Linked DNA regions of Macaca fascicularis. Each later gene encodes a partner of the first gene's protein in a complex. Links are inferred from orthologs where the notes say so. Each region holds a gene or a part of one and is shown on either strand. Other genes may lie near its edges.

Region 1 (10,890 bases):
AAAGTGTAAGTTTCTTCTCTATTTGACTACTGTATACATTTCTCCATAAGCCGACAAACTCAAGGCTGTAAGGTGAACTAGGGTCTGCGTTTGGATTCCATAAAAACCAAATCCGTGTTGAACAAAGGGATGTTTTTATGCAGTGACTTTCTGGGTAAACCGTGTGTATCTGTCATTGTGTGTGAGCCCTGAGCCCTGTTTTCCTCTGAAGGTAGTAAGTGGTAGCCGTCTCCTCACATGAATCACATCTGGAGCACAGAGGCCCTCTTAAGGTAATTGATCTGACACATTTACTGTTTACCAAACACTGTCTGATGCATACTTGGGTGTATTCCACAGCATGTGGACTGTGGTCCCCTGTGTTTGCCAGGAATGCTATGCTCCATGTAGAGGTTTTACTCTACTCATCACTGCAGTTTGCACGCTCCTTCACGGACACTTGGAGACCTGTGCTCTGTTCCCTGTAACTGGAAGTGTGCTCTGAACTTGTCTGTCTCCCTTGGCTGTTCTTGGCCCTTGGTACCAGCTCCCTGGGGTGTCCACAAGCACTTGGGACAGAAGGTGAAGGTGGAATTTTAAAGAGAAGTTTGCTTGGATCTTCAGTGACAACCTTGACAAGCTATGGCCCGAATATGGGCCCTCTCAGAATTGTCAGGAGGAGGTTTTGCAGGTGCCACAGGTGCAACGGGCCCTGCCTCCCTCTGCTGCGTCCAGTGGGTGCAAGCCAGCCAATGTGTGGCCAAAGTGGCTGGACAGTGTCACAGCTTTCAGATGTCTTTCCTTCTACCTTTTTAAAAGAGTCCCAAATAACTCACTTGAAGTGTTTCAATGGCAAGCAAGTTTTATGAAAATGAATACTTCCTCAGTTAATTGACCAAATGGGTGAATTCTGACCCTCTCTAGTTTCTTTCCCTGGTCATAGTCATAGTGGGGAGATGGTGTTGGCTGTGGGATTCACTGCAGCGTCCTACCCCAAAGGCAAAGAAGATGAAAATGAAGAGTGCAGAGCTGGGCTTGATTCCCAAGTCACAGTCAGGCTCCCGCTATGGTAGGCGGGACATCTCTCTAGCTGCTCACAGAGATGGAACTAGGGAATTGAGGGAAGAGTTAGGGGCCAGGGAGATTTACTTGAGTCTGATTTTCCAGGTGAATGGGAAGGGGGGCTTTGTCCAGGGTTTGGTGCTGACACATTCTTGGTAGAGGCACGTCATCACCAATGGCATTTGTCGTTGTTGTATGTTAGCAATAAGATTCAGCTGGTCAGATGTTTTGGGCCACCTTGAAGATGCTGACACATTTTCTGTGCTGTGATTGTTCTGAAGGCAGAGTAGCTGTAACCACTGTGAGAAGCCCAAATAAAAATCAATACCCCCTGCCAAAGACCACCGTTCTGAAACACACTTTTCTCTAGAAAACAGTGCCCCCCTTTCTCCCAAGCTTCTTATTTTTGGATTCCATCTCTTTGTACGTGCTAATCTAGTCTACCATGGAACACATTTTGGGAGCCGGGGGCTCTGCCTACCTTTAAGGGGGACTGTCGTGTCTGACCTGAGATTGGAGGATGCTTTCCAGTGTGAAGGAGTGTGAGGGAGCAGGCACAGACACAGTGAGAACAGGGTCATTTTATTGGTATAGAGACTGCAGAGGGACCGGGGGCTTTAGCTGTTTGCAGCTATGGTATTCTTAATCCAGGTCAAATAGTTGTAGACCTTGGTGTAGACTCCAGGCTTGTTCTTCTGGGCACAGCCATCGCCCCAGGAGACAATTCCTTGGAGCTGTCCGTTGGAGACAACAGGGCCACCAGAGTCACCCTGGGGTGAAGAAGGTACAAGTTGTATGGAGAGATAGAGGAGGAATATAGCTATATTTACTCTGAACCTTAAAAGACCCCTTTCCAGCCAGCTCTGTGACTCCACGTCCTTCTCATGGTGGCCCATTCTCTGTTCTTCCTAAGCAGACTGCATGCAGCCCAAGGGAGCCTTCCTCACTTCTCCCTGGGGGCACCACAGGGAGCATCCTTAGCCCCACCACCTTGGGAGTTCAAATCTTTTTCTCGGGTGGGGCCTGGGTATCACTGGGAGCCTCTGCATGGGAAGGGTTGTTCCAATCACCTGGCAGGAATCCTTGCCTCCCTCAAGGAAGCCCGCACAGAACATGTTGCTGGTAATCCTTCCAGGGTAGGAGGCTTCACACTTAGCCTGGGTCAGTACAGGAGCTTCCAGGCACTGCAGCTCATCTGGGTAGTCGGCTGTGAGGATATGGAAGAGAACAAAGAAAGTCAAAATGTGGGTCAGGCTTTAGAAGGAGACAATAATCTAGGATGGAACATTGAAGAGGAACATTGCCTCTGGGGAGGACTCCAAAACATAAGTCCTGGAAAGGGATTCTGGTTTTAGTTCCCAGAATGATCACTGTTGAACCCCTCCAAGATGTGATCATTGCAAGTTCTCCATTTGTCCTGTCTTTTGATTTTAGGAGTCAAGTCCTTGAGACTTTGCATCCTCTGGTGCCCTGTGCAGAGCCTGTGTATTATGGGCACTAGAAATGCATCTTAACCCTGGAGGCGAGAGGATTTAAGTTAAGGGGCATGCTTCATTCTGGAAATTGTGAGGATGGAGGGAAGTAGAAGGACAAAGGGTGCCACTCACCACCAGAGCTCAGAGTGTTGCCCCAGCCAGAGATGAGACACTTGGCGCCAGCAGCTGGAGGGGCGGTGGGCAGAGAGATGGTGGACACACGGGCATTGATGACGGCAGGTGAGGAGAGCTTGATCAGCAGGATGTCATTGTTCAGAGTATTCCTGTTATAATTGGGGTGGCGGATGATCTTGGCTGCATTGATGAACTGCTCAGTTCCCTCCAGGACTTCGATGTTGTGCTCTCCCAGTCTCACCTGGATGCGGCTGATGGACAGGGAAGGCGTGGTGAAGACCTTCTCTCACAGCCGGGGCACCCATCCCACCTTCCCCAGGGTCCTTAAGCTCCCTGCTCGTGGACAACCCTGGAGGGATCAGGTGGGCTGTGTAGCCATATCACATGGGCAGTAGAGGGATGTGGGTCAGTGCAGGTGTGACACCCAGGACCTTTCTGCTTCAGAGGTTGGTGGTAGTGAGGTGGGGAAGAGGCAAAGGGATCCCAACGGAGGCTGCTCCTCAACCAGCCTTCGCAGTCTCTTTCCCACAATCTCCACAGTCACTAGCACTGTGGGCACAAGGAGCTCCTTGTAGTTTTCCCAGCATTCTTCACCCCAAGTCTTTGCTAACTGTGCACAGTGCCTGTTCCTCCCTCCCTTCTTGGCCTGGTGAGCACCACCCTTCTGTGTAATCTAATCCAAGGGTAGCCATAGTATTAGTATCTCCTGGGAACTTGTTAGAAATGTAAATTCTTGGGCCTTACCCCCACCTACTGATCAGAACCTTGGGGATGGGACCCAGTGATTTGTGCCTTAACAAGCCTGCAGGTGTTTCTGGTGCATACTCAGGTTTGAGAGTTCTTTGCCTAGGCAGAGTTTCTCAGCTCTGTCTATGCACTCTACAGTTACCAGAAGTAGACTGTTATATACTCAGATATTCACACCCTCTTTCTGAAAATTTTGAGTTAATTGCCCTGGGATGGGACAGAGGCATTAGTATTTTTGAACTCTTTCTTAGGTGGCTTTATTGTGTAGCTAACCAACAAAAGGTACTTGCCTGCTTTTCTCACTAGCTCTGACCACCCCAAGATCATCCCTGCCTGCTTTTATGACCACAACCCTTGCTGTTTCATGGATTTGCCTGGGTGTGAGAGGTTCCTGTCTTGTGTTCACTCTCTGCTCTGGACAGTCAGCTGCTGCCAACAAGTTTTCTTCTCCACCACCTCTCCCCTCCATCTTACCCAGCCTCAGTATTTCTCTGGGCTGAAGCCATGCTCCACCAGGCAGCCTGGCTTGGAGCTTTGCCGTCAGGGGCCCCACACTTACGTCTTGTAGCAGTGACCTGCTGATACCACCCACTGGTTGTTAATGAGGGAGCCACCGCAGAAGTGGTAGCCAGAATTCAGGGACACCTGGTAGGGGAGAGAATTCTTCCCACAGGTGTAGCCCCCAACGATCTTGTCATCATCGTCAAAGGGGGCAGCAACTGGAGTGGAGACGGAGGGGAGAAGGCAAGTCAGTAGCATGTTAGGGGTGCTGCTCCCAGCCTGCAGTTGCTTCCTTCTAATTAGAAATGGTTCACAAGCACAGTGACGCTAGGCAAGGAAGGGAGCGCAGCCACCCATGGTGAGCATCACTGGATGTGTCTCCCAAGTCTCTGTGTCTCCAGGGCACGTTGCAAGGTACCCAGTGGGGCTCAGACCTCTCCTGGGGTCACTAGGCTGAGGTTGCAAGGAATGTCCTCACAATGCTTTCAGTGGGATAGGAGTTGGGATGTGATTGTCTCACCCACTGAGTGCTTCTCTCTTTTATTCATGAGCTGTGTACTTTTCCTGGCTATTTGAGTCCTGGATTGTCAGGATACTTTGGCCAAGCTAGGAAAACCCCCTGGCTGTGGAGAACTTGCCGTGACCAGCTTCCCCCATAGCTCAGATCTGTGCAGTTAGGGCCGCGTTTAGGGCAGCCCCCAGGTTCACTTCGACAGAACAAGGGTAGATGTTGTTATTGGCCAATAGTATAGCAATTCTTAACCTTGGCTGTATGCCTGGAAATATTAAGAATCACCTGGGATGCTTAAAAGCCCAGAACACAAGCTGCCCCCCCGACAAATGAAGTTAGAATGTCTAGAGCTGAGTCTCTGGCATGAGTAATTTTTCAACCTCCCCACGTGCATTCGAGGTTAAGAGCGACTCTAGTGGTGCTATTGTGGTGCTGTAGGAGCTGAGTCTGAAGCCTGCTGCTTCATTTCTTGGGCCAGCCCCACCTGACCTCCTTTCCTAGCTTTTCCAACCACAGCTCGGATATAGATGTACAACAGTGGTGGGAGTGAAATCAGGGAGAAGTTGAAACAGGAGAGCCTTAAAGAGAGCCCATACAGGATGGGAACTAGAGATGCCATATGGAGGAAATAGAATATCAGAGCACAGTCAAAAGGGGATAGGTAGCAAGAATGGAAGGGCATGTGTCTGCCAGGAGATGGTGTGCGTGGAGCCTAAGGCAGGGCATGATACTCACCAGCAGCTCCCACAAAGGTAAGGATCAGGAGTGGATTCATGGCAGTAGAAAGTGCCTGACTGGTGGTGGAGGACCCATCTTTATACCTCCCGAGGATTGGGAGAGGAGGTGTCTGTGAGGTGAAGGTCACCACTCCTCTCAGCACAAACACACCTGCAGCTTCCCAGGGTCTTGCATCAGCTCGGCTATGTTTGGCCACTCTGTGGGTTTGTGATTTAAAAGTGATAAGGAAACTTGCCTTCTGAGAGGAGAGAGGGTGATTGGCTGTTTCCTACAAGGATGGTGAGATGGGGAAGACAGGGAAAACCAAGCCCCGGATCACACAGCTGGGCTTTCTTAGGCCCAGGAGATGAGGCTTAGAAGGAGGGAAAATGGCCTCGCTATTTAGGAATCCTTTTATCTATTGGGGATGTATTTAATGTTCTTAAGGAAGGACAAGCGTTGGTAACAACCTTGGCTTTTCAGTGTCCTGGAGCCCCCAAGAGAGGAGCAAAGTCTTATCTAAGGCTCATTCCTGTGAAAATGAAGATGCTTCTCTCCAGTCAGTGTGCAGGAAGGTCAAATCCAAGACTTTGGGAACAAGAATTCCAACACTAAGGGATAAGGGGAAGGGAGACTCACATTTCATAGGATTCTGGGCTTCCAGATGGCTCTCCTTCCTACCAAGGCTTAAGGATGGGAAGTGTTGCAAAGAAGGAGGGGCACAGGTTAGTTAGGTTGCTCAGTGCATCTGGAGGATGGAAAACCGATAGCACACTCCTCCCGTTCTTCAATGTGAAGACATTTGTCTGTCTCATGTGCATCGTGTCATAAGTTCTTTTCATGCAGCCTCACGGTTGCCCTGGCAAGCTGCACTCAGGGCGATGCAAACTGACCCACCTGGTCAGGGCTGTCAGCCTGAACCACAATGGCATGCTAGAGTTTCGACCATGATCAATCTGGGTTATGATCTGATCTGAGAATCAGCAGTAGGTAGAGATTACATGGTAAATGGGTCACATATTGGGTTCAAAAAAGAAGATGTGGAGGGACGGATCTAGAATTTTCTATCTTAGATGCTGTGAGATTATGCTGGGCTCAGTACAAAGTGAATCTTCCCAGACAATATCCTGATTTGGACCCTAGCAAGGTTGCTAAGACACAGTTGTGTAATTGACTGAGGCACAACTTGGCCAGAGCAGTGTGGAGATGGAGATGCTGTCTCCGCTCAAGTCTAACGATGTAAGAAAAGAAGAAGCTTCCTTATGAGAGTGCTTTCCCTTCTTAGCAACTCAGAGCTCGGGTTGGTGATGGGCAGGAGTGAGCAGGGTTCAAGTTTGAATTCTTTGAAAGGTAAAAGAAGGAGAGATGTCCTGGAGACGGTGAACAAAATGAGCAAAGCTCAGAAACTTGGTGGTGAAATTGGACATGGCCAGGGGGATAGAGGGAGGAAGCAAATGGAAACAAGAGGGAATTGGAAAAAATGCCAAAGTGGGACCCATGGAGTTGAGAGGACACACAGAGTACCTTTGAGTTCAGCTCCTGCCATGGCCACCGAGCCAACTTCTCCACAGTCAGGAGACCCACTGCTCGGAGACCCTCTCTCCACCTCGTACGTCCTCTAATCATGGATGGGCTCATACCTAACACTGCTATATTTAGATGGTGCATGGTGCCTGACAGCTTTAGAAGAGTTTTCACGTAAGCAACCGTGGTACATTGTTTTCGTTTTGGTGACTTTCACAGTTTAACTTCCCACAGACATACTAATTGTGATTTTTGCAGAGCAAAAGTGTTTCCATTTATAGAGGAAGACAATGAGATTCAGAATGATTCTGTCTTGCTAAGAATACAGATCTTGGCAGAGCTGACCATAAGATCAACAAGCCGTGGAGAGCATTGTGAAGTGTGGGAATTGCTGCAGGTGGCATCTAAAAGGAGATTTATTGAGGATCAAGGCACAGGTCCCCAGAGGACAAACCGTACATCTGATTCCTTCCTGGTGCTTTTCTTCCTGGCAGAAATAGATGATTGAATTCATCTTTCTCCTGGCACCTTGTCTCAGAGCCTTACCTTGCCACAGTTCCAGAGCCATCCAGGCCATGACTGCCATGTAGATGACACACCTCTCTGCTCATGAATAACTGGCCAAGCCTGAGGTAACCAGGTTTTGGAGCATTGATAATATGGACTTTTCCTGTGTTGTCCCTAAGCATGTTGTTTCATTTTGTCCCCTTGTCATGGGATCTTCACAGAACTCCTGCCTTAGCGGATAAGGAGAGATTCTTGCTCTAGCAAGTGTAGACACGATACCAGTGTGCACTAAACAGGGAGGTGAACCTTGGTAGAAGATGGAAAATGTGTTTGGAAAAGGGGATTTTTGGATCAGGTGCTTGTGCTCTGACTCTCTGTCTGAAAGGGAACACCCAAGAATATGAGGATTTCTGTATCTAGAGCTTGAAGACTAGCCTTCTCCAGAATTTTGCGCTCTTCCTTAAATGATCACAGTATATGGTCAGCTTTCTTCAAAAAGGAATGACCTTACAGTCAGAGAAGACAGCTATAGGTGGAGACTGTTACCCCGTACTATAGACTCAGATATGTAGGATAGGCTCAGATCCAGCTGCCCAAGCACAATTTGGAGGACATGTCATTCTGGATCCTGTTCATTCTGAACTATAGATTTCTTTGTCTACTTCTCTAATACATCTTTCTGGCTTGTGGTTAGTGCTTAGCACAGCAAACCACTGACCTTCAATTATAACAGTGAATCATATCAGTGTGCTTACTATATACCATGTAACTTACTATACAGCAGGTAACTCATATAAGTTAAGAATATTTTTTCATTTTATCATCACAATCACCTTGGGATTTTACATTTTAGAGATGATGAAATGATCATTTTACAGATGATCAAATGAGCTTTCTGGAGGTGCAGTGATTCTTCCATCTCCCAGAGCAGCAGCTCCCAGTCAGAGCCGGCCGTGCCTGAACTCAATACCTTGGCAAAGCAACCAGAGCCAGAAAGAACCATGGGAGAAGATTTCAATGACTTTCAGCAACTTTGTCCCCCTTTTTTTCTCGTTTCCTCTCCTGCATTTTTCTCCATCTCCAGGTACAGTTCTGGATGTGGATGCCTGTACCAACCCAAAAACACTTGAGATTCATTCCTAATACCACAATTAATCTCGATATTCATCCCCCTACCTTTAAAATCAGATCTCACCTACCTGCTTGGGTCAGAGAGATGTGTTTTAAAATCCCCAAGGAAGGAGGCAGGGACTGTGCCCTCAGATGATTATTCGTGAAGTGGATTTATGCTTAATTTCAGTTTAAGAGAATGTTGCTGTGTCTCTGCCCAGGACAGGCAGCCCATTGTGGTCCTGGGTGAGGAGGGAAGCCCACAGAGACCCAGGGTTTGTGACCTGTGGCTGCCAGTGTCTGCAGAGCCAGAATTGAGCTAATCCCTTGAAAGAATGAGTGCTGATGGGCAGGTGTATGGTCGGTTGCTATGGGGCTTGTTGATCTGTCAAATTCCAGGTGACAAGATCAACGCATGCTTGATGGGCCCCTTCCCAGCAGGCTCTGGTGGCTGCAACCTGGTTCAGGTGTGGAAGGTCATACTACTTTGCCTTTGGTTTTTCTTTGAAAAACAAACAATGAAAGACAGATGAAAACGAGAATTCTACCAGTGGGCAGGCAGGAATTCTCTTCTGGAAAAGGGATATTTGTAGCTCCTCCCCATGTTGGCCTTGAAAGAGCTTGGTTTTGGCGTGGCTATTATTAAAATGTCAAAAAAATAGAAGACGCTGGTGAGGCTGCAGAGGAAAGGGAACACTTATACACTGTTGGCCAGAGTGTAAATCAGTTCATGGAAAAATTAATGCAGAAAGCAGTTTGGAGTTTTCTGAAATAATTTAAAACAGAACCAGCATTCCACCCAGCAATTCCTTTAGTGGGCTTTTATCCAAAGGAAAATAATTTTTTTCTGCCAAAAAGACACATGGTCTTGCATATCCGTCACAGCACTATTCACAATACAAAGCCATGGAATCGATCTAGGTGGCCATCAGCAATAGAATGGATAAAGGAAATGTGGTACATATACACCATGGAATACTATGCAGCCAAGAAAAGAATGAAATCATGTCCTTTGCAGAAACATGGATGGAGCTGAAGACCACAATCCTAAGCAAATTAACATAGGAACAGAAAACCAAATATCAGGTTCTCACTTATAATTTTGAGCTGAGCATTGGGTACACATGGATATAAAGATGGGAACCGGAGACACTGCAACTACTAGAGGGAAGAGAGAAGGAGGGTGGAAAGGGCTGAAAAACTACCTATTGGGTACTAAGCTCACCGCCTGAGTGATGAGATCATTTGTGCCCCAATGCTCAGCATCACACAATATACCCATGTAACAATCCTGCACATGTAGCCGCTGAATCTAAAATGAAAGTTGAAATTATTATTATTTTTTTAAATGGGACCTGGACCAGAAGTGGTGGCTCATGCCTATAATCCCAAAACTTTGGATCACTTGAGGTCAGGAGTTCAAAACCAGCCTGGACAACATGGTGAAACCATGTCACTACTTTAAAAAAAAAAAAAAAATTAGCTGGGCATGGTGGCGCGTGACTGTAATCCCAGCTACTTGGGAGGCTGAATCACATCAACCCTGGAGGCGGAGGTTGTAGTGAGCAGAGATCATACCACGGCACTCCAGTCTGGCTGTAGTTGAGCAAGAAGGAGATGTTTTGTGTGAAGGCTGAGGTGGGGGCTCTTCAGAGCCTCTGTGAGAAGGAGGCCCTAAGCCATGGCTGTGGACAGAGTTGTGGCTTTCTGCTTCTTTGCCCTTTGATCTGGACCCACAGGTGAACGATTCCAGCCTCGATCCCGAGCACACACTCTGGAGACCTTCATATCTCACTGTTCCATGTGAGCAAATGGACTGAGAAAGCTTTGTGGCCTGAGAAAATGCAGCCCCTTGACCTGGCTCTCACACAGCATTTTCTCTTGCATTTAGAATAAGCTTTTTTTTTTTTTTTTTTGCTTATTTTGTATTTTTGGTGGTGGTGGTAGTGGTTTATTTTACACTGAACATTTGGAAGAAATGTCGTGGTTACTTGTGATTTTCATGCCCTGTTTCTGCTGGCAACCCTTCTGAGTGGGGTGACTCACTCTCCTGTGTAAAGAGTCTAAGTCGCCCAGGTAGGAGGTGGAAGCAGCCGTCTGGAAGGCCATTGGGATCCTTATGTCTGTCTCTTGGCTTCAGGTAACCAGCTGGGCTTTGAAAGCAATGATCTGAATGGACACAGAAAATAATGCAAACTAACACTCCCCACCCAGCCCAGATCTGTTTATACGAAGTGTTTGGTTCTTCCCTTGACTTGAGTGATGATGATATTCAGAAGAGGCATTGACATTATGGTAAGAAAGGGAAAAAATATATCTGTTTTGTCTATCTATCTACTTTATATGTATCTCTACAAGCAGACAAACCCAAGGCTGTAAAGTGAACTAGGGTCTGAGTTTGGACTCCATAAAAACTAAATCCATGTAGAACAAAGTGATGTTTGTATGCAGTGAATTTCTGGGTAACCCAGGTGTATCTGTCCATTTTGTGTGAGCCCTGAGCCCTGTTTTCCTCTGAAGATAGTGAGTGGTAGCCGTCTCCTCACATAAACCACACATCTGGAGCACAGATGGCCCTCTCAAGGTAATTGATAGTAGACATTTACTGTTTACCAAACAAGT
Region 2 (9,086 bases), on another chromosome or scaffold:
TTATGTTTGACCCAAACTCTACATTCTGAGATAAGTGGAAAATCTCAAAGACTAAACTCTATTACACCAGACAGGCAGCTCTGTGCCCATGCATGTAGACCTGTGCCAGGCTCAATAGACACTCGATCAAATCCCAAGGAAACCTAAAGGAGTTACTTCAGTCAGCAAACTGTGATGGGTAACATGTTTCTGCACTGGGTATTTTCCAGTTGTTCCTTAAAATAGTAGTCCAGTCCTCTGCAGAATTACTTGCATTCATGATCATCCGTGCTCTGCCATTTAATATCTGCAATCACATTTTCTCAGGCAGTGACCTCAGGATGTAAGAAAGATGAGGAAAGAAAAGGAATTGTGAGGGAAAAACCCTGTGTGAAATTACAGGATTCCTGGTGTTTTTAAAACTTGGTCTATTCTGAGTCTTGCCAAAGTCCCCTGACCCTGGTATAATCAAACATACCTTTGAGGAAAAAGCAAATGGGAACAACAGGGAGTATTCAGATGCATTTATTCAACTATCAGGCCAGCCAGGCCTCACAGTGACCTGATGGGATTTCAAAACCTTGGTTCTCAGCAAGGCCCAGATTTTCGAATGAGGACAGAAGTCTGGCGCTTCCTGCAGTAGAAATTAAAAAAAAAAAAATCAGCTTATACTTTATTGACAAAAAAGTGACTATGGGAGAAAAACGGGGGAAAATAACTTCATTTAAAGTAGAGGGGTTTGAGATTTAGAATCTTTTCTCTTTCATTCATTTATACATTCACTTACTCATGAATTCATCAAATATTTATTGATTACTGTTGTATACTCTAAGGATACAACAGAAAGGAAAAACATCTGTCCTTACAGTTTTTACAGACCTAGTGGAGTGTTACAGTGAACCCCTGAAATTAAACTCAAATCCATCATTGCATCTTTTGCTCCTGATGCCTCTGCCTTCGCCACCAGGTTTCCATCTGAGCTGCTGCCTGAGCTATCGCTGGACCTTCTAATTGACTGACCTTTCATCTTAGAGCTCTAGGGATTCATTTCTGTGAGGTCTCGCAAAACTAAATCATATATTTATTCCACATGATTCCTGCCAGTTCTAAACATCCTCCCCTCCAGATAAAACCTCTCTGTTCGCCCCACACTGCCATTACCAAACCAGTTTTCTCTTCTCTAAGCTAAATATCTCTAAATGTTGTAATTGTTCCCTAGAAGACTGTTTCCAGGTCTTTAATTTTTCTAACCATTTTTTTCTTTGAATATACTGGCTTACAAAAATTCTTCTACTTCTCTATTACTGGAGGACATCTGACTTCCATATACTTTTTTTTTCTTTTCTTTCTTTCTTTCTTTCTTTTTTTTTTTTTTTAGACAGAGTCTCACTCTGTTGCCCAGGCTGGAGTATAGCGGTGTGATCTTGGGTCACTGCAGCCTCCGGTTCCCGGGTTCAAGTGATTCTCCTGCCTCAGCCTCCTGAGTAGCTGGGATTACAGGTGCATGTCACCACGCCCGGCTAATTTTTGTATTTTTAGTAGAGACGGGGTTTTACCATGTTGGCCAAGCTGGTCTCAAACTCCTAACATCAAGTGATCCGCCTGCCTGGGCCTTCCAAAGTGCTGGGATTACAGGCATGAGCCACCATGTTCAGTGAAACTCTTTAAGACTTTTTAATGCTTTCTTGTCCCACAATCATTAAGTACTCATTAATACTGATTTCCAAATCAGTTAGCATACATAAGCACACATACCTAAACAGAATAAACAAGAGTTGCTATGCTGTTCACTCTAGTTTCATATATTCACTGTCAACATACAGCTATGTAAATTTAAATTAATTTAGATAATATTAAATATTAAATATTAATAATATTAAATATTCAGTTTATCAGTTATGCTAGCCACACTTAAGTTAGTGTTAGCCACATTAAGGCTACTGTTTTGTGGCTAGTGGCTATGTATTAGACAGCATAAACATAGAACATTTCCATCATTATAGAAGGTTCTATTGGAAATGCAGATTTATGGAAAAGAATTTGCCAGTACAGATTTCCTGTGAAGACATAGAAGGAATATAAAAAGTGTTTTTTGAATTTATTTGTCAAGCATATAATGACCAAGAAGACTGATTTGCAAGCCCTTGTTTGGTATTATCTACTTGTCTCAAACTAGGATCAGCATCTGGCTTTAGTTGCTAGGTAATAAGTTGGGGACTTTTAATCAACAGTGTAAAGGGCAATGTCATACATTAGGAAATATGTTGTATTTGAAAAGCAACATTTTGTCTCTAGACCTAAATTTTCTTATCTGAGAAATATAGGAAGAGAGGTCATGTTTTCTAGCATAGAAATGTGCCTCCCGTATTTACATATTTTTGAACAAACAGAAAGAGTAAACAGAAACTTGTAGGTTTCAGAGACTAAGCAGACAGGGTGTCCCAGCCCTCTACTAATATTTTTCTAACGTTTCACTGTAAATGTTGAGTGGCACTTGGAAATTTCCCAAGTCTCAAAGCTGTTGTTCTCTTGCTTTCTCCTCCCATTGGATGGAAAGTTGATGTTTGACCTTAATGTCAAGAATGTGGGTCATGAGAAAACTAACAGGTGGCTTCAAATTCCTTTTACAAGTCTTAGTTATGGAAACGGATTCATTACAAAGTAGAATACCTAAGGTTTTGGGTCTAAAACTTCAAGATATTAGACCTCTCATCCTGGGGACCTATTTCCACGATACTTGCTAAACTCTGAGAATTTTCCACAATGGTTTAAACCAGCCCAAGAAGAAGGTTTGCATTACAGGCAAGGAAAGTTATGCAGTAGAATATAATAGAAATTTACACAGTCATTTGAGCCTGAGTCAAAGTCTTTAATATCAAGTCAATCTCAGAAAAACTAAAGTCACTCGTGGAATCCCCTTTTATTTGTTTTGTTCATTCCACACCTTTATTTAACCTGGCATGCTCTTTTGATATTGCCAAAATTCAGAGCTCTATTTAAATGGCATTCTATTCTTTTTTTTTTTTCCTTTTTTTTTTTTTTTTTTTTTTTAATGGAGTCTCACTCTTGTCACCCAGGCTGGAGTGCAGTGGCACAATCTCAGCTCACTGCAACCTCCGCCTCCCAGGTTCAAGCGATTCTCCTGCCTCAGCCTCCTGAGTAGCTGGGGTTACAGGTGCCCACCACCACGGGGTTTCACCATGTTGGCCAGGCTGGTCTCAAATTCCTGACCTCAGGTGATCTACCTGCCTTGGCCTCCCGAAGTGCTGGGATTACAGGAGTGAGCCACGGCACCGGCCGGCATTCTATTCTTTTCATGGATCCTTTCTTGGCCCCTTTTAATAACAAAAAATATGTATCCCTGCTTCACTCCTGTTGCACTTTATTTACACCTCATCTTCTGGCATTTGCCCAAAATTATAAGAAGCCATCCTATATGTGCTCATGACGTTTTCTTAGTCATAAGCACCAGTAAGACAAGGAATATTAGCATAATGCTTTACACATGCTAAGGTTTCAGTTGCTGAGTGAGATAGGAAATTTGTGTCGAATCTGTTTCTCTGTATCCCATCTCTTACTCATGGATACTGAGAAAATGAAGCTTTACTGAAACTGGCTTTCATATCCATGAGTAAAAATACATTTTTGGTTATATAATCTATACAATTTATATTTGCATAAATGAGAGCTTTAAAAAACACAATCATTGCAACCACTAATATTTCTTTTTAATTAAAGGTATTTTGTGTGTATAAGATTAATAAAAATCCAATCTATCAACTATTTTGCTGTAAAAATGTAGACTTTTATCATAAAAGTGACTTTTTAAAAATAATATTATAATGCTAAATGTATAAAAAGGAGAATAAGAAAGAGATAACTGTTTTTGGAAAAAGTAAATAGTTTGCTTCTCTCAGGGTGAGATTCATATTATCAGTATATTTGAAGATAACTATCTTAAAATATATAGTTTAAAAGAAACTCAAGTTTGTACTCACTGATTTTCAAAACATAGCACACATTCATTGGGATAAGTTTTTCCATCAGTCCCACAGACAGGGTCATATATCTTGGTGCATCCAGTAAGTTCATTGTAACATTTGGCCTAAAAATGGAATTAAACAGAATCATTTCCCATTATTCTCCATTCTTGAGTTCATAGCAAAATCTCTGAAATGGTTTTAATTTCTCTGGGGCACAACTGTGATTGGGAGAACGATACTGTGTGTTGTAAGAGAAATAACCTAAGATCTCGAGACAGAAAACCTTGTTTTAAGTCATGCCTCTGCTATTTCTAAACTGTGTGACATTAGTAAGTCCTATGGCCCTTCTGAAACTCAGTCAGTTCATCTGCAAAATGGTGATGATATTACCATTTCCCACCTATCTCATAGTGTTGTTGTGAGGTTTGCACGGATGGGTGAGATAATGTTCAAGTTTACAGTTACTGCAGATGCTGGCATCTCTCAGGCTGGCCACATCTTGAGGTATGTTCTTCCTTGTACACTATAGTCCACACACACTGGCCTTCTATTAGGCACTTAAAGGCACTAGCCAACATCCAGTGTTGGAAGTCTTTGCATTCTACTCTAGTAAGAGTTTATAATCATCAAATGATTGGCATTGTCCTAGACACTGTCCTAGTGCTTTTTACATATTATTCTGTTTAAACCGCCTAACTATCCTGTGAACTAAGTATTATATTCTTCTTCAGGTGAAGATAATGAGGCACAAAGCAATAAAATTAGCCAAGGACACCTAGCTAAGGAATTCCTAAATTCAGAATTCAAACCTAGTCAGAGTTCCTGAGCTTTAGCTCTTAACTACTTCATTCTACTACATCTCCCCACCAGTTTTGCTTTGCTAACACTCATTATTATTATTATTATTATTTTTGGCTCAAAATGACCCCTCACTTACTTCGGAGCACCCTCCCTGATCTCTCTAACTAGGCTAAGTTCTTAATGGCAGCATATCTTTTTCATAACACTTATCACAAATGTAATCATGTGTTCATTCATGAACTTTTGGTCTATTAGCTGTCTCTGACTAGATATAAATGTACTGAGAAGAGGGACACTTCTTCCTCTGGTCTCCAAATTTACTGAAATTACCTTTTAAACAAAAAAATATGAAAAGATTAGAGTTAGAATATTTTTCTAGAAGAAGAACCTAGTTTATTGTTTTCTGTTGTTCATTATAAATTAGAGCCACACCTTGGTCATTGGGAAAGCTGCATGCCAACATGGTCAAACTGGCTGTAAGGAGGAAGGGCTACTTGGAGTGAACTTGAGAAGGCTTCCACCCCAAATACTTGTTTACAGCTATCACTAGTTTATATAAAAACCCCTTCACAGCAAGCACTGTAGGACTATATAGAACTTGCTTATACATCAGTGAAATTGTCCTTCAATATATGCCTGTGGGGTGGAACTACTATTACCGTTTGCATTTCACACATTAACCCTCCCTAGCATTCATACTCCTCTTAACTTCAGGCTCAACTGAAAGGTGACAGCAAGGCTGCATTTTTGTTGGATCAAACTGTTCCAGCCTGAGAAATAAGAAATTACAAATATCTCTTTACCTCTCTTCCCAGGGAGTCAGCTCCAGTGTTACCTGGAAATAATCAGATATGGTAAGTTGGGTCCTAAACGAGAGAAGTCAGATCTATTCTTCCTCAGAATTCTCTGCTTTCACTGCAGACCATGACTTCTTTACTAGGCTCTTTCATTCCCTACCCTTTCTGATTTCTATAATCCTCCAAAAGTATCTGACTGATTTTCCTGCACCCCCTCCCTGGCAAAACCTTAAAAAGATTAAGTAAAACTTTGATTATGACCAAAGTATCTCAATTTGATGTTTTAGGAAGTTGATCTATTTCCTTGAAAATAGAAATTATGTACTTACTGCTGGAAATGTATCAGGCACTGAGCAAATTATCTTTTGAATCCTCACAAACATTCTCAAAACCAGTTACTAGATCTTTAATCTCACAATTAGTGAAGTATACTTTCTATCTGTTTACAGATGAAAAGCTGTGAAACAGTTATCACAAGCAGTAACCAGGCCTTCTGATGCAAAATTAGCTTTTTCAATTACACTTAAATTCTCTTTTGTAAGTAATGTTGAAAAAATAGAGCTCTTTTGCCAACTCACTATCAGTTCCCAAAAAGCTATTTCCAACTATTGCATCATATGGACTATGGGTCCAACTCACATTTATTGAATTTACAGGTAGTCAAAATAGCTAATCTCCGTTCCCCGGAAGATAGCATAGGTTTTGCTGACAACATGTAGAAAATGATAACTGTGGATGAGTTCATGGAAGCGAAAGGGATTAATCTGATAGCATCCAAATAAGGAAATATTTGTGAAAATTAATTTTTAATATCATCAATCTTTGAGGTGATCTGGGTAAAGAGGTAGTTCTTTGTATCTAAATGTAATGAAAATTAGCGAGGCATCTAAGAGCTTGGAGAATTTCCCCCAGGATAGTCAGAACTTGATGTTGTTGGGGGCCCACTGGCTTTTAGAATCTAGTTGAATCTAAAAACTGATGAACAGGTGCTCATCACAAGCATCTATTTGTATTAATTAACATGCACGAGGAGGGGGAAAGGGAACACTGACAGCTGCCATAAGTATTCGGCGAATACAACAAACAATATTCTTCCTCTTCTTAGCAAAGTGCTGATTTGGCTCTCCACAGGATCCGTCGCTACATGAGAGGTGAAGTTGAAAATGTTAACTATTTCCAATGATAAAAAGGAAACTGATCTTGGCTCTGAGGGTTCAGAGTTGTCTGTTAACATTGTCAAGATGCAGTTGGGGGTATATGTGCACCATCTATTCAAGCAGAATGTTTTCTTTCAAAACATTCAAAACGTGTAATGTAAATACACAAAATGCAATTTTTGTATTTCCAGATACTAATAAGAAATACCAGAAACTGAAAATAAAAACTCCCCTTTATATCACATATATTATTGTAATTTGGCCTTACACATTTACAAAATTAGAAGTATAGTTAAAATTGAAATATTTTTACCCTTTTTTCTCTACCGTATTCCAACAAAGTGTCAGCCACATCAATAGAGGAAAACCATTTTATCTCTAGGCAGTTCTTACTAGCAGAATTGTTTTCCTTGTAGTAAGTTAAAAATCCCTCTTAAAAAATAATTCTTATCTGTGGATTCTATTTCATCTCACTAGGTCCAAAAGATCTCTCGAAGACTAGACTACATCAAAAGTCTAGAAGATAATGTGCTCCACAAAGCAACAGGTCAAAATGATTTTATTTAAATTTGAAAAATATGCAAAAACACTTACCAGATAGACTCAACAGGGCCAAGGCACTGAGAAGAAAGATGCCTGTTACCTTCATGGCTGAAATTCTGCGTCCAGAGGTCAGTTGAAAACTGCACTGCACTTACCACGTCTCTTCAGAAGCCTGGGACTGGAAGGGTCATATGGCAGACGACAGCAAGGCCCCACCTACTGGGCTATATCATAGATCTCCCTGGTTATTGATTGACTCTGTGTTGTAGCCTGGCCTCCAGGTTCTGGGAATGTCACCTGCGTAAGAAAGGTGAAAGGAGCCAGGTGGGCCTGAAATATGCAAGGCAAACATTCTGTCAGGAAAATAGTTCTAGTGGTTAGTTTGATCCCGCTCTCTCTATGGTTGGGGGAAAGTCATACCCTTCTGAAGCCTGTTTTCTCCCCTGTAAGGTAAACCCAAAGATCCCTTCTACTCTGTAGGTCTGGATAGATGAGCAGGTATGGATAGCGACTAGAAAGAATTTTATTCCAAGTAGGATAAAACCTCTCCATTCTTTCTTCCTTTCCTCCACTCTTCATTTCTTATTCTTCTTTCTCTTTTCTCTATTTTTCTATCACCCATTCACAAAGCTTAAAGTAGCTGATGGAGTGGCAGATGAGAGGGAAAGAGAGAGCAAGAGAGAGAGAGAGAGGACTCAGTTCCCTAAAGCGTGTATTCTAGAGTAGAGGGTGCTTGTTGGAGTCACTTTTGCTGTGCTTCTGTGTATTCATCTGGAAATTAAAATAATAATAACATCTAACTCAAAGGGTTACTCTTTCATTTGAGAATATGTACTGGTTATCTACCATGTGTTGTTGGAAGAGAATTCTCCATCCTCTCTCATGTTTCTGCATGTCTTATGTGTAGAGGTACCGATAACCTTTGTTTCAGACTATCTTTTTAAGGGTGTTTGTATAGCAAATGACCTTAGCAAATATGTAATGTCTCCCTCTGCATCAAAAGTCAGGTTTGTTTACTGTTTAGTGTAATAAAGTTAATATCTCCTTCTAGGGCAAAGATCATGTTAATTGCCCTATTTAAAAGATTTCGGGTTTTTAAAAGCTTGGCCTTGCTTTCCTTTAACACATTGTACTTTCGCTGCAAGTATCACTTGATGTGCCTTACATTGGCCTGTGGAAATTGGGGCTTGGGAAACCAGAACAAATTCCAACACTCTGGCTGTTGCTATGGAATAATTAAGTCCCTTATCTCTGAGCCAGGAGTCTGTGCCTTCTGCCAGAAACCATTATAATGTGGCAGGTTAACTTCTTAGCTTCCAAGTAAGATAAAATCTCAAACCCTTTCCAAGTCATGACAAGAACTGTATTTATCTCTCGAGACAGATCAGTAAATAAAAATAACAATCTCTGTCTTCATGGAGCTTCCATTGCATTTTTGTTGAGGGAGGCAGGTGACAAAAAATAATAAATGATTATAAAATATATCAGATATCTATTATGGAGAAATGGATAGGAAGGATAAGGGTGCTGGAGGGTTAAGGAGATATGTATTATAGCATAATCAGAAGAGGTCTTGCTTTTCAGGTGATATCAAACAGAGACATGAAGGAAATGAGGATTTGAACTATGTAATTATTCCAAGGATGTGCATTCCAGACAGAGAGAATAGTAAGTGCAAAGGCTGTGAGGCTGACGTTGGTTTGACATGTTTGAGAAACATCCAGGAGGACAGTCTGGCTTCCAGCAAAGTGATAGAGGGCAGAATGGGAGATGAAATAAAGGAAGCAGTGAGGGTCTAGATTTAGTGTAGGCTAGAGTAAGGACTT
Region 3 (10,159 bases), about 160 Mb from region 1:
CCATTAGACGATTTTGTCATTGTGCGAACATCATAGAGTGTACTTAAACGTAGATTGTATAGCTTACTACACATCTAGGCTGTTTGATATGGCCTATTACTTCCAGGCTACAAACCCCTGCAGCACGTTACTGTACGGAATGCTGTAGACAACTGTAACACAATGGAATTTATATATCAAAACCTATCTAAACATAGAAGTGTGTAAAATAGGATATCAAATATAAAAGACGGTACACCTATAGAGGGCAGCTCCATTATAATCTTATGGGACCACTGTCATATATGTGGTCCATCACTAACTGAAATGTCACTATGTGGTGCATGACTGTATATTATTTCATTAGATTTTTCAATATTTTGAGAAGAACTTTAGGGCCAATTTATTGAAAATTCTATTTCACCTTAATTTTTTGAAACATTCTTACATATTTTTGCATTAGAATTCTTCCTCAACTATCTTTTCACATGAAGACTGTTTTATTTTGTAGGTATAATTCCCAATCTAATTTATGTTGTTATACCAACAATACCCCTGCTGTTACTGATACTGGTTGCTTTTGGAACCTGTTGTTTCCAGATGCTGCATAAAAGGTAAATAACTCATATATGTAGAGACAATTTGAAAAACTTTAAATAGGTTTTCAGTAATGTTTTAAAGCTATTAGTATAGAGTTAATTATATTTTAATTTTCCTTTAATCCTATACATACAATCCTATACAATCTAATAAGATATACATTGAGGATAGGATTAATGTAATACATCATTTAATCCTCACAAGACTTATTAAGCAGTTACCCTTCTGTTTGTATTTCTCAGTTGAGAAGATGGTGTCTTAGATGGGTTACCTAGCCTGCCTTGGTTACCTAGTCATAGCTAGTGTCCATTGCTGAATCTGAAATTTGGATGTTTGTAAACTTCCAACATATACGCTCTACTAAACTGTTTTTTGTTATAAAGTATAAGAATTAATGCTAGACTTTTCAATCTAGACATCAAGCTATATGTAAGACTTGATATTTTGGGGTTCATTTTGTATTACTTTTCAAAATTCAAGTCACAGGTTTCTGTTTTATTTCAAAAAGATCTTTTAAGAATAGGAAATAAAATACAGTGGTTCAAACAGGTCACTTTTTGCCAGGTATCTTGAAATAAAATCCTCTATTTTACCAGCAAGATTTCTGGGAGATTATTATGACTTTTGTATCTGCTTACTCATACCCTAGAATTAGAGAAGTTTTTCCATGTGTCCCAATTTTTTAATAAAAATGAAACAAAATTCAATAAAATGAAAATTTATTTCATTTTCAAATAAAAATGAAATATAAATATGTGTCAAAATAAAAAAAATGAAAAGCTGTTCTGTTTATGTAAGAGCATGTTCGCTAGAATAAGCTAGACATCTTTGTCTGAGTGGTTTAAATAAGAACTGATCAAGAGAATGCCTCCATCAGAAAGGACCTGCAAACATGCATTTTTCTCTTTTGACCTTACTTCATCTTCTTCTTTTGCTGAAATAAACCCTAAAGAACCCATTAAGTAACAAAAGACCTAGAAAAAATTTAAGTAATTCTTAAATGAAATACTAATTCTACACAAAAGGCACATTAATAACCATTTTTAACCATTTAGAACATTTTTGTGCTTTTTATAAACTTTCTTGGCTTATATTCCATACATGTTAGATGATTGTAGAATAGAGTTGTGTTAATCTTACTTATTTGGATGGAAATCTACAAACCATACAATTTGGACATAATATTTTATTAGTAATCAAAACAGCTAAATCTAAATGAATTAAGTAATATTTTAAAAGGGTGATGGTCAGGTGTGTTTAGAAATAGTTCTTTTTTCTCTTTGAGGGAATTCTGCAATGTCTGGTAGATGGAGAGGAGGGGATGGGGAGACGTCTGTGAAGATTGAGGCAGATGCTGGGAACGGGGGCTGGGGTGGTCAGGGAGCAAGTAAGTGCACAACACAGTGAACTGGGACAAACACTTTTGGTCCAGGCAAGAGATTATCCCGAGGAAACCAGCCCAAAGAAATCTACTTTTGACAGGGCATCCAGTAGAGAATGACTTGGGTGCATCACCTGAGGTCGGGAGTTTGAGACCACCCTGGCTAACATGGCAAAACCGCATCTCTCCTAAAAATACAAAAAATAGCCAGGCGTGGTGGTGGGTGCCGATAATCCCAGTTACTTGGGAGGCTGAGGCTGGAGAATCGCTTGAACCCGCGAGGTGGAGCTTGCAGTGAGCCGAGATCGCGCCACTGCACTCCAGCCTGGGCAACAGAGTGAGGGTCTGTCTCAAAAAAAAAAAAAAAAAAAGAGACAGAATGACTTAGGTAAACCCAGGAACAGGGAACTGCTGCGGGTGCCTGAAAAGTAATTATGTTGTGGAAAGACAGAAGATAGCAGAACCCTAAGCACAGGCTGGAAATGTGGGCCAGAATGCCAAATCTGACAAGGGTGAAACTGTATCTCAGATCTAGAGGAACTCAGATACTGTTATGTTACCAAAGCATCAAGCTGCTGTTTAACCACAACGGTTTCAGAGACTGAGGCATCAGTAAGCTTCCAGAAATCAAGTGACTTAGGTGCAGAGCCGGAGAACTGATGGGAGGAGGGGAATAGGCACATCTGCACACATAGTATAATACCATTGTTTTGATGATTTGACATTAAATTCAGCATACATTAGTGACAGGAGACTCAAGGAGCAAGACGATTTCCAAAATAATTGATCAAAGAAAATAAAGGTTTTTATTGGTGAATAAAATGGAAATGGTTAATATTGTGTCAGGCACATGTTTGTATGTGTGGAACCAACCCAAATGCCCATCAATCAGTGAATGGATAAAGAATCTGTGGTGTATATATATGATGGAATACTACTCAGCTATACAAAGGAATGAATTAACGGCATTCATAGCGACGTGGGTAATATTGGAGACTATTATTCTAAGTGAAGTAACACAGGAATGGAAAAGTAAACATCTTATGTTCTCACTCATAAGTGGGAGCTAAGCTATGATGATGCAAAGACATAATGACACAGTGGACTTTGCGGACTCAGGGGGAAAGGGTGGGAAGGGGGTGAGGGATAAAAGAATACAAATTGGGTACAGTATATACTACTCAAGTGATGGGTGCACCAAAATTTCACAAATCACCACTAAAGAACCTACTCATGTAACTAAACACCACCTGTTCCCCCATAACCTATGGAAATAAAAAATTAACAACAACAATAAAAAAAACAACAACAAAAATGAACTCTAAATTAGGAAATGTCAAACAGGAAAAGATACGTTTTGTTTTCTCTATCATTCACAAGAACCGTCTGCCATCTTCACATATTTGAATAATCTAGAAGTTTTTGGAAGAATGGGAAAATATACTGATAAGAGGAGGAGGAGTCTTTCATAAAGAACTGTCTGAGATATCTCCCTTTGGACCAAGACATGCTTAGTTTAATAAGAAGTTTTAGGCACTAAACTTATTTTTTCTTATGTTTTTCAGTAAAGGAAGAACAAAAACTAGTCCAAACCAGTCCACACTGTGGATTTCAAAGAGCAGCAGAAAAGAAAGTGGCATGGAAGTATAGTAACTCATTGACTTGGTTCCAGAATTTTGTAATTCTGAATCTGTATAAGGAATGGCATCAGAACATTAGCTTGGAATGGCTTGAAATCACACAGGATCTGCAAGATGAACTGTAAGCTCCCCCTTGAGGCAAATATTAAAGTAATTTTTATATGTTTATTATTTCATTTACAAAATACGCTGTGCTAACAATGGAGTGAGACCTGCTTATTTTGCTAAAGGATGCACCGAAACTTCAAGCAAATGAAATGGACAATGCAGATAAAGTTATCAACACATCAGGAGTATGTGTGTTAGAAGCAATTCTTTGTATTTCTTTCACCTTTCATAAGCTGTAATCTAATCAATGTAATGTATATTGTATTGAAATTTACAGTGTGCAAAAGTATTTTACCTTTGCATAAGTGTTTGATAAAAATTAACTGTTCTAATATTTATTTTTATGGCATCTCATTTTTCAATACATGCTGTTTTGATTAAAGAAACATTACTGTTGTCAACTGAATTCACACACAGACACACAAATGTAGTGCTATAGAAAAAGTTTGTTTTCTAGAAATAACTCATCTTTCAGTTTCTCTGCTTTTGGTCAATGTCTAGGAAACCTCTTCAGAAATAAGAAGCTATTTCAGTAAGTGTGATATAAACCTCCTCAAACATTTTACTTAGAGGCAAGGATTGTCTAATTTCAATTGTGCAAGACATGTGCCTTATGATTATTTTTAGTTTAAAATTCAACAGATTTTTTAATAATGTAACTTTGTTAATAGGTGCATAAACAGTAATGCAGTCAATCTGAACAAAAGTAGTGGCATACACAATATAAATCATATGTCTTCACACGTTGCCTATATAATGAGAAGCAGCTCTCTGAGGGTTCTGAAATCAATGTGGTCCCTCTCTTGCCCACTAAACAAAGATGGTTGTTTGGGGTTTGGGATTGACACTGGAGACAGATATTTGCAAAGTTTGTCTATGGTTTCCCTAGCTGTATTTAGCCTCTAACTATATTAGTATACAAAGAGGTCTTGTGGTTGAGACCAGGTGAATAGTCACTATGAGTGTGGAGATAAGCACAGCACACAGACATTTCAGGAATGAAAGGAACTACGAAATGGTGTGAAAATGGGTTGGAACCCATCAGTGATCGCATATTCATTGATGAGGGTTTGCTTGAGAGAGAAAATGGTGGCTCCTTTCTGTGTTATCTCCTAGTTTCTTCAATGCTTATGCCTTGTTCTTCTCAAGAGAGTGTTGTAACTGTCTGGTCTTCATATGTCCCTGTGCTCCTTTTAACAAAATAAAGAGTTCTTGTTTCTGAAGAATGATCACTAGTCCTGTCTAAACCTCTTATGTGAAAAAATGTACAGATATGTTTGCATCGATATATAAAGTTGGAAACAAATTACTCTTTAAGTGTGGTAATAATGGAAGGCGTGGTTATGTCTAATATTTTCCCTGTTAATTATTTTCAGTTAAATAATAAAGTATTTTCCTTAACACATTTCACAACTAGCACTTGTTGGCAAAGCTAGGAGGCAAAAGAGAAATCAATGGGCATTGCCCATTTTCAGCTGCTGAGAGACTGAGAGAACGAGCAGCTGCATTTGAAGCTGAGATTGGCCAACATGCAGCATTCTTCTTTCTTCTCTTGGCTACCTATCTTTCTGGGTAGAACTGGAGACCAGCTGCTGGGACCTAACCTTTTCCCTCCAAACTACTATCATGTATTTCTCCCTCTAGTGTGGACATAGTGGAGGAAAACTGGATGTTCCCCCTTGTCTTTGCCACCATGGACTGTAACAGCTGCAAGGCAAAAGCAGTAAATCGGTGGGGAAATGCCTTGCTTTTGCCTTTGATCTTTATCTAGGTCTGAGTAACTCTTCTGGTATCAACAACTAAACCTATAAGCTACTGGAGGTGGAAAATGGACTTCTATTTTATTAGAAAATGGTAGTAATCCTACCTTAACAGTTTCCTAAAATTTTAGCTAACCTTTGGAAAATGAAAAGAAATACATGGTGTATCTGTTGCATTAGCATTTTTAGAATATGTTTTTGCTGTATGTTTTGAAATGCATATGAGATATGGAACAATCTTCTAGTACTAAAAACAAATACCCTGCTGGTCAGTCTATCTTTCCCAACTGTTAGAATCAGACCATTGGAAAGGTGTTAAAAAGAATCGTGTGTTCAGTGGTGATATGATCTGGCAGTTTCCCCACCCACATCTCACCTTGAATTGTAATAATCCTCATGTGTCAAGGGTGGGGCCAGGTGGAGATGATTTAATCATGGGGGCAGTTTCCCCCACACTGTTCTCATGGTAGTGAATAAGGTTCGAGAGATCTGTTGGTTTTATACTTGGAAGTTCTCCTGCATATGCTCTCTTGCCTGTCTCCATGTAAGATGTGCCTTTGCCCCTCCTTTGCCTTCCACCATGATTGTGAGGCTCTCCAGCTATGTGGAACTGTGAGTTCATTAAATATCTTTCCTTTACAAATTACCCAGTTTTGGGTATGTCTTTATTAGCAGCATGAAAATGGATTAAAACAAGTGGCTCCTGATTTTGGTCCAAAGAATGAATTCTACAATTTCTTAACAGGAATTTGCAGTCATCCATCATTTGGCCACACCTTCTTCATATAACATTTTTTTCCTTTTATCTGACTGTTTCCCAGAGAGAGAGTCTTTTAGTATGACAACACATGGTTCTCTACTGACCCCTCTCCCTTAACTGACTCCCACCTGCCCAGTGGATCCCCAATATCCTCTTCAATGCCTCTGTAATAATTATTCTTTCCAGGTGTAATTCAAGTCTCCTTTCTTCCATAAGGCCAAGTCATACAGATTGGTCCCTTCTTTCAACTCCTTTTAACCTTACTCTCTCTTTATTAAATTGTCCCATGCAAGAATGTGTGTGTGTGTGTGTGTGGGTATGTGTGTATGTGTTTTGTATTAACTATGATTTTTTTCTCCCCAAATACATCAAAAGATTCTGTGTGGTGAGCTAAGTTGAAGTCTGAACTTATTCTGGAAATGATCCAAGAGATTAAATAAGTGAAGCAAATTCATTTATTCCACATATTTGACCTTCTCATGGGCGATTCAGTTGTGTCTAAATAAGTTTTTCACATATTAGAAATATCCACTGTAACACACATAAACAAAGACCAGGATTTGTAATAGGTGCATTTCTTTGGTATGTCTGATTATTTTTTTGAGACTTAAAAATACTAGCATGAAATAGACAGTATACATAATCCAGGTAAAATTCATCTAATAAACAATGACCGTATCAGTTAATTTATATTTTATTTCATTAACTTATTTAAGAGGAATGTAAAATCAATTTAGTCCAGGCCTGTGACATAAGCTCACAGTAAATAGTTTCTATTAGTGGGGAAAATACTAAGGTTATGCATATGTTGAAATAAGAATGAATTTTGATAGAAAAGACAGAGAAACGATTGAGATTCTGCTAACAGCAAGCTAAACTGGAACTAGAAAATTTACGGCAGTTTATTTCCAACAGTGACGCACTTTGGGTAAAACAATTTATTTTCTTTCTTTTTAAAATTCTGCTCAAATTTCTTAAGTGTATGGTATATGCTTTAAAATAACATCCCTTTAAATAACAGTAAATAATGAAAATAATCATTAAGAATTTAAAAAATGAGATCTGCGAAGAAATACCTGTTCACAATGAAATAAAAAATGTATTTAATGGTATTTTAAAGTTACTCTGTATTGCTAATTTTATTATATTTAAAATTTTGTTTCCCTGGCCCCGTAGCATTTCATTGGCATAGGTAAGAATAAAAACTTTGGGTAACTCATTAAAATTTTTGTACTAAACAATTTCCATGCTTTCTAGAGTAGAATGGGAAAATAATCTGACTTTCATGTTTGGTTTAAGAAATGTGCTAATGTAGAAAACTTTGTATCCATTCGGTAAACCTTGGGACCCTGGCATACACTCCCGGGCGATTAGGCAGGGCACACTTGTATCCAAATGAAGTCACACCAGCAAGGAACCACCTGTTGTTTTCTTGGCACATTAACGGTCCTCCTGAATCCCCCTAAAGAGTGAATTGCAAAACAAAATTGTAGCTATGTCATCAATTGATCGAAACATATAAAATTATTTGTATCAAATAAATTAAAAAATACGATTTAATTGCAAGTCATCTGTATATATTCTCACTTTCACTCTAAGTCAGGAATGAGAACCTCAGTAAGGAGACAGAGACACTGTAACAACTAAGACATAATTTATAATTTTTACGGTGCAGCTTTTTAGTAAAAGTTTCACCACTTTAATTAGGCATTTTGGTGGATACTAAGAATTTCTTTAAAGCATAACTATGACAAGCATCCCAAACAAAATATTTATTAAAATCCAATCATTTTATTTAAGGAGATCTGCTGTAAGTGTCACAAAGGACATTGCGGAAAAGACAAATTATTTCACAATATACTCTTCGGAAAAATTAGGAACTCACAAAGTAGATTTTAGTGCTCTTGGGTAACATTATCTTTTTGGGGCTCAACAAACACCATCCGATTTGAAAAACATTTCAACTGAAATAAGGAAGTCTGTAAAAAACACTTCAACTGAAATAAGGAAGTCCGTGATATAATTTTCAGTGATAGTTACTCATGTTTTCATCTGAGATTTCAAACTAAGAAATGTTTTTAATTTTTATGAATATTAATTACAGCAGATCCTAGTACATTACATAGATTTTATTGCCTATGATTCCTGTGTAACGCAGTGATAATACAAACATATAATATCACTATTTAATGACATGAAATTGACAAGTATGTTTCCTGTATTAATTGGGCAAATCTTTTTAATGAATGCTTTTTATATTTATGAAGACATTTAAAGTTGTATGTGTTTTGAAATCATTGGTGTAACAGAATATTTCAATCCCAGCTGGATGCTAGAAATTATCCTAAGAGGCTTTTTATCTGATCCTTTATCATCTTTGGGCCCTGTATTTGAAGAAAAAACTGTAGTCACCTTTTTTCCCCCTCCATACACAGGAACATAAATTGCACTGGCGACCATAGGTTACCAACATTCTAGTGTAACAAATGTGTTCAAGCTGTTTGAAAGCAGGGACTGTGATTTCTAGTTCTGCCTCCCAAGCCCTTAATCTGTAATATAGGTTCTGAAATATTTATGGAACAGTATATATCCAAGGATCAAAATACATTTTATGTGACTTGGAAATTATTAAAAATCAACTTCAGCTGTTTGGATATTTTTAAAAGGAGTCGTTTGTTTTTTCACATATCTTCTAAAATAATTTAATTTTTTGATAGACAAGAGGATCCAGACAGAACCGGGGTTTTAACTTACCCAGAACATACTGGGCCAGTTGCAGTTACTCAAGGATCCTACGGCAGACTTGTTGCCTATTGGTTGGGCGGTTTATCTGGTTCAGAGGCCTCAGTCTGTTTCCATTCCTTCCTGTCATCTAACTATACCACATCAGTTTAGTTATGTAACTTCTCCTCAACTTAATTTTCTTTTCTTTTGTTTTTAAAAATTTTACTTTAAGTTCTGGGATACATGTCCAGAACATGCAGGTTTGTTACATGGGTGTACATGTGCCATGGTGGTTTGCTGAACCTATTGACCCGCCCTCTAAGTTCCTTTCCCTTGCCCCCCAGTCCCCAACAGGCCCTGGTGTGTGTTGTTCCCTGTCCTGTGTCCATGTGTTCTCATTATTCAACTCCTACTCATGAGTGAGAACATGCGGTGTTTGGTTTTCTGTTCCCGTGTTAGTGTGCTGAGAATGATGGCTTCCAGCTTCATCCATGTCCCTGCAAATGACATGATCTCATTCCCTTTTATGACTGCATAGTATCCCATGGTGTACATGTGCCACATTTTCTTTATTCAGTCTATCATTGATGTGCATTTGGGTTGGTTCCAAGTCTTTGCTACTGTAAATAGTGCTGCAGTAAACATACATGTGCATATGTCTTTACAGTACAATGATTTATATTCCCTTGGGTATATACACAGTAATGGGATTGCTGGGTCAAATGGTATTTCTGGTTCTAGATCCTTGAGGAATCGCCACACTGTCTTCCACAATGGTTGAACTAATTTACACTCCCACCAACAGTGTAAAAGTGTTCCTAGTTCTTCACAACCTTGCCAACATCTATTGTTTCTTGACTTTTTAACAATAGCCATTCTGACTGGCATGAGATGGTATCTCATCGTACTTTTGATTTGCATTTCTCTAATGATCAGTAATGTTGAGTTTTTTTTTTCCATATGTTTGTTGCCTTACCTTAATTTTCTGATTTGTTCAGTGAAGGTATTAATATTTCATTATTGCACTGTCTCGGAGATATAATGAGTACTTCAAAAATATGCATGGGGCCGGGCACAGTGGCTCACACCTGTGATCTCAGCACTTTGGGAGGCCGAGACAGGTGGATCACCTGAGGTCAGGAGTTCAAGATCAGCCTGGCCAACATGGTGAAACTCAGTCTATACTAAAAATACAAAAAATTAGCTA

What was found.
Region 2: the proteins of serine protease 1 (region 1) and SPINK1 are in contact, whole or in part, in a crystal structure (PDB 7QE9), measured with the Homo sapiens proteins. The link is inferred for Macaca fascicularis from reciprocal best matches to the Homo sapiens genes PRSS1 and SPINK1. Residues at the interface, in NP_002760.1 of Homo sapiens: Tyr45, His46, Phe47, Cys48, His63, Cys64, Lys66, Arg101, Lys102, Thr103, Leu104, Tyr154, Tyr175, Lys178, Asp194, Ser195, Cys196, Gln197, Gly198, Asp199, Val214, Ser215, Trp216, Gly217, Asp218, Gly219, Gly227; in NP_001341895.1 of Homo sapiens: Tyr33, Glu35, Leu36, Asn37, Gly38, Cys39, Thr40, Lys41, Ile42, Tyr43, Asp44, Pro45, Pro55, Asn56, Val59, Phe62.
Region 3: the proteins of serine protease 1 (region 1) and TMPRSS15 are in contact, whole or in part, in a cryo-EM structure (PDB 8ZIV), measured with the Homo sapiens proteins. The link is inferred for Macaca fascicularis from reciprocal best matches to the Homo sapiens genes PRSS1 and TMPRSS15. Residues at the interface, in NP_002760.1 of Homo sapiens: Phe18, Asp19, Asp20, Asp22, Lys23, Ile24, Val25, Tyr45, His46, Phe47, Cys48, His63, Cys64, Tyr65, Lys66, Arg68, Ala91, Lys92, Arg95, His96, Arg101, Lys102, Leu104, Asn146, Tyr175, Phe188, Leu189, Glu190, Gly191, Gly192; in NP_001414986.1 of Homo sapiens: Tyr276, Thr277, Ile279, Trp297, Glu298, Leu316, Glu318, Asp320, Glu321, Ile369, Gln370, Ser372, Phe374, Pro376, Phe377, Ala389, Gly399, Pro400, Gly401, Gly402, Arg403, Glu405, Glu432, Asn433, Lys485, Ile486, Leu487, Val513, Pro514, Thr515.

Annotation. Positions count from the first base shown.
Region 1 is NC_088377.1:184,584,937-184,595,826, reverse strand, and holds serine protease 1, read right to left. Parts: upstream 5,186-10,890; coding exon 5,146-5,185; intron 4,118-5,145; coding exon 3,958-4,117; intron 2,903-3,957; coding exon 2,649-2,902; intron 2,249-2,648; coding exon 2,112-2,248; intron 1,812-2,111; coding exon 1,659-1,811; 3' UTR 1,618-1,658; downstream 1-1,617. UniProt on the Homo sapiens protein: Has activity against the synthetic substrates Boc-Phe-Ser-Arg-Mec, Boc-Leu-Thr-Arg-Mec, Boc-Gln-Ala-Arg-Mec and Boc-Val-Pro-Arg-Mec. The single-chain form is more active than the two-chain form against all of these substrates.
Region 2 is NC_088380.1:154,609,199-154,618,284, forward strand, and holds SPINK1 (serine protease inhibitor Kazal-type 1), read right to left. Parts: upstream 7,461-9,086; 5' UTR 7,367-7,460; coding exon 7,312-7,366; intron 5,599-7,311; coding exon 5,567-5,598; intron 4,085-5,566; coding exon 3,978-4,084; intron 614-3,977; coding exon 568-613; 3' UTR 489-567; downstream 1-488. UniProt on the Homo sapiens protein: Serine protease inhibitor which exhibits anti-trypsin activity. In the pancreas, protects against trypsin-catalyzed premature activation of zymogens.
Region 3 is NC_088377.1:28,968,486-28,978,644, reverse strand, and holds the end of TMPRSS15 (enteropeptidase), read right to left. Parts: intron 7,691-10,159; coding exon 7,535-7,690; 3' UTR 5,108-7,534; downstream 1-5,107. Other genes in the region: CHODL (chondrolectin), read left to right, coding at 491-593, 3,526-3,610. UniProt on the Homo sapiens protein: Responsible for initiating activation of pancreatic proteolytic proenzymes (trypsin, chymotrypsin and carboxypeptidase A).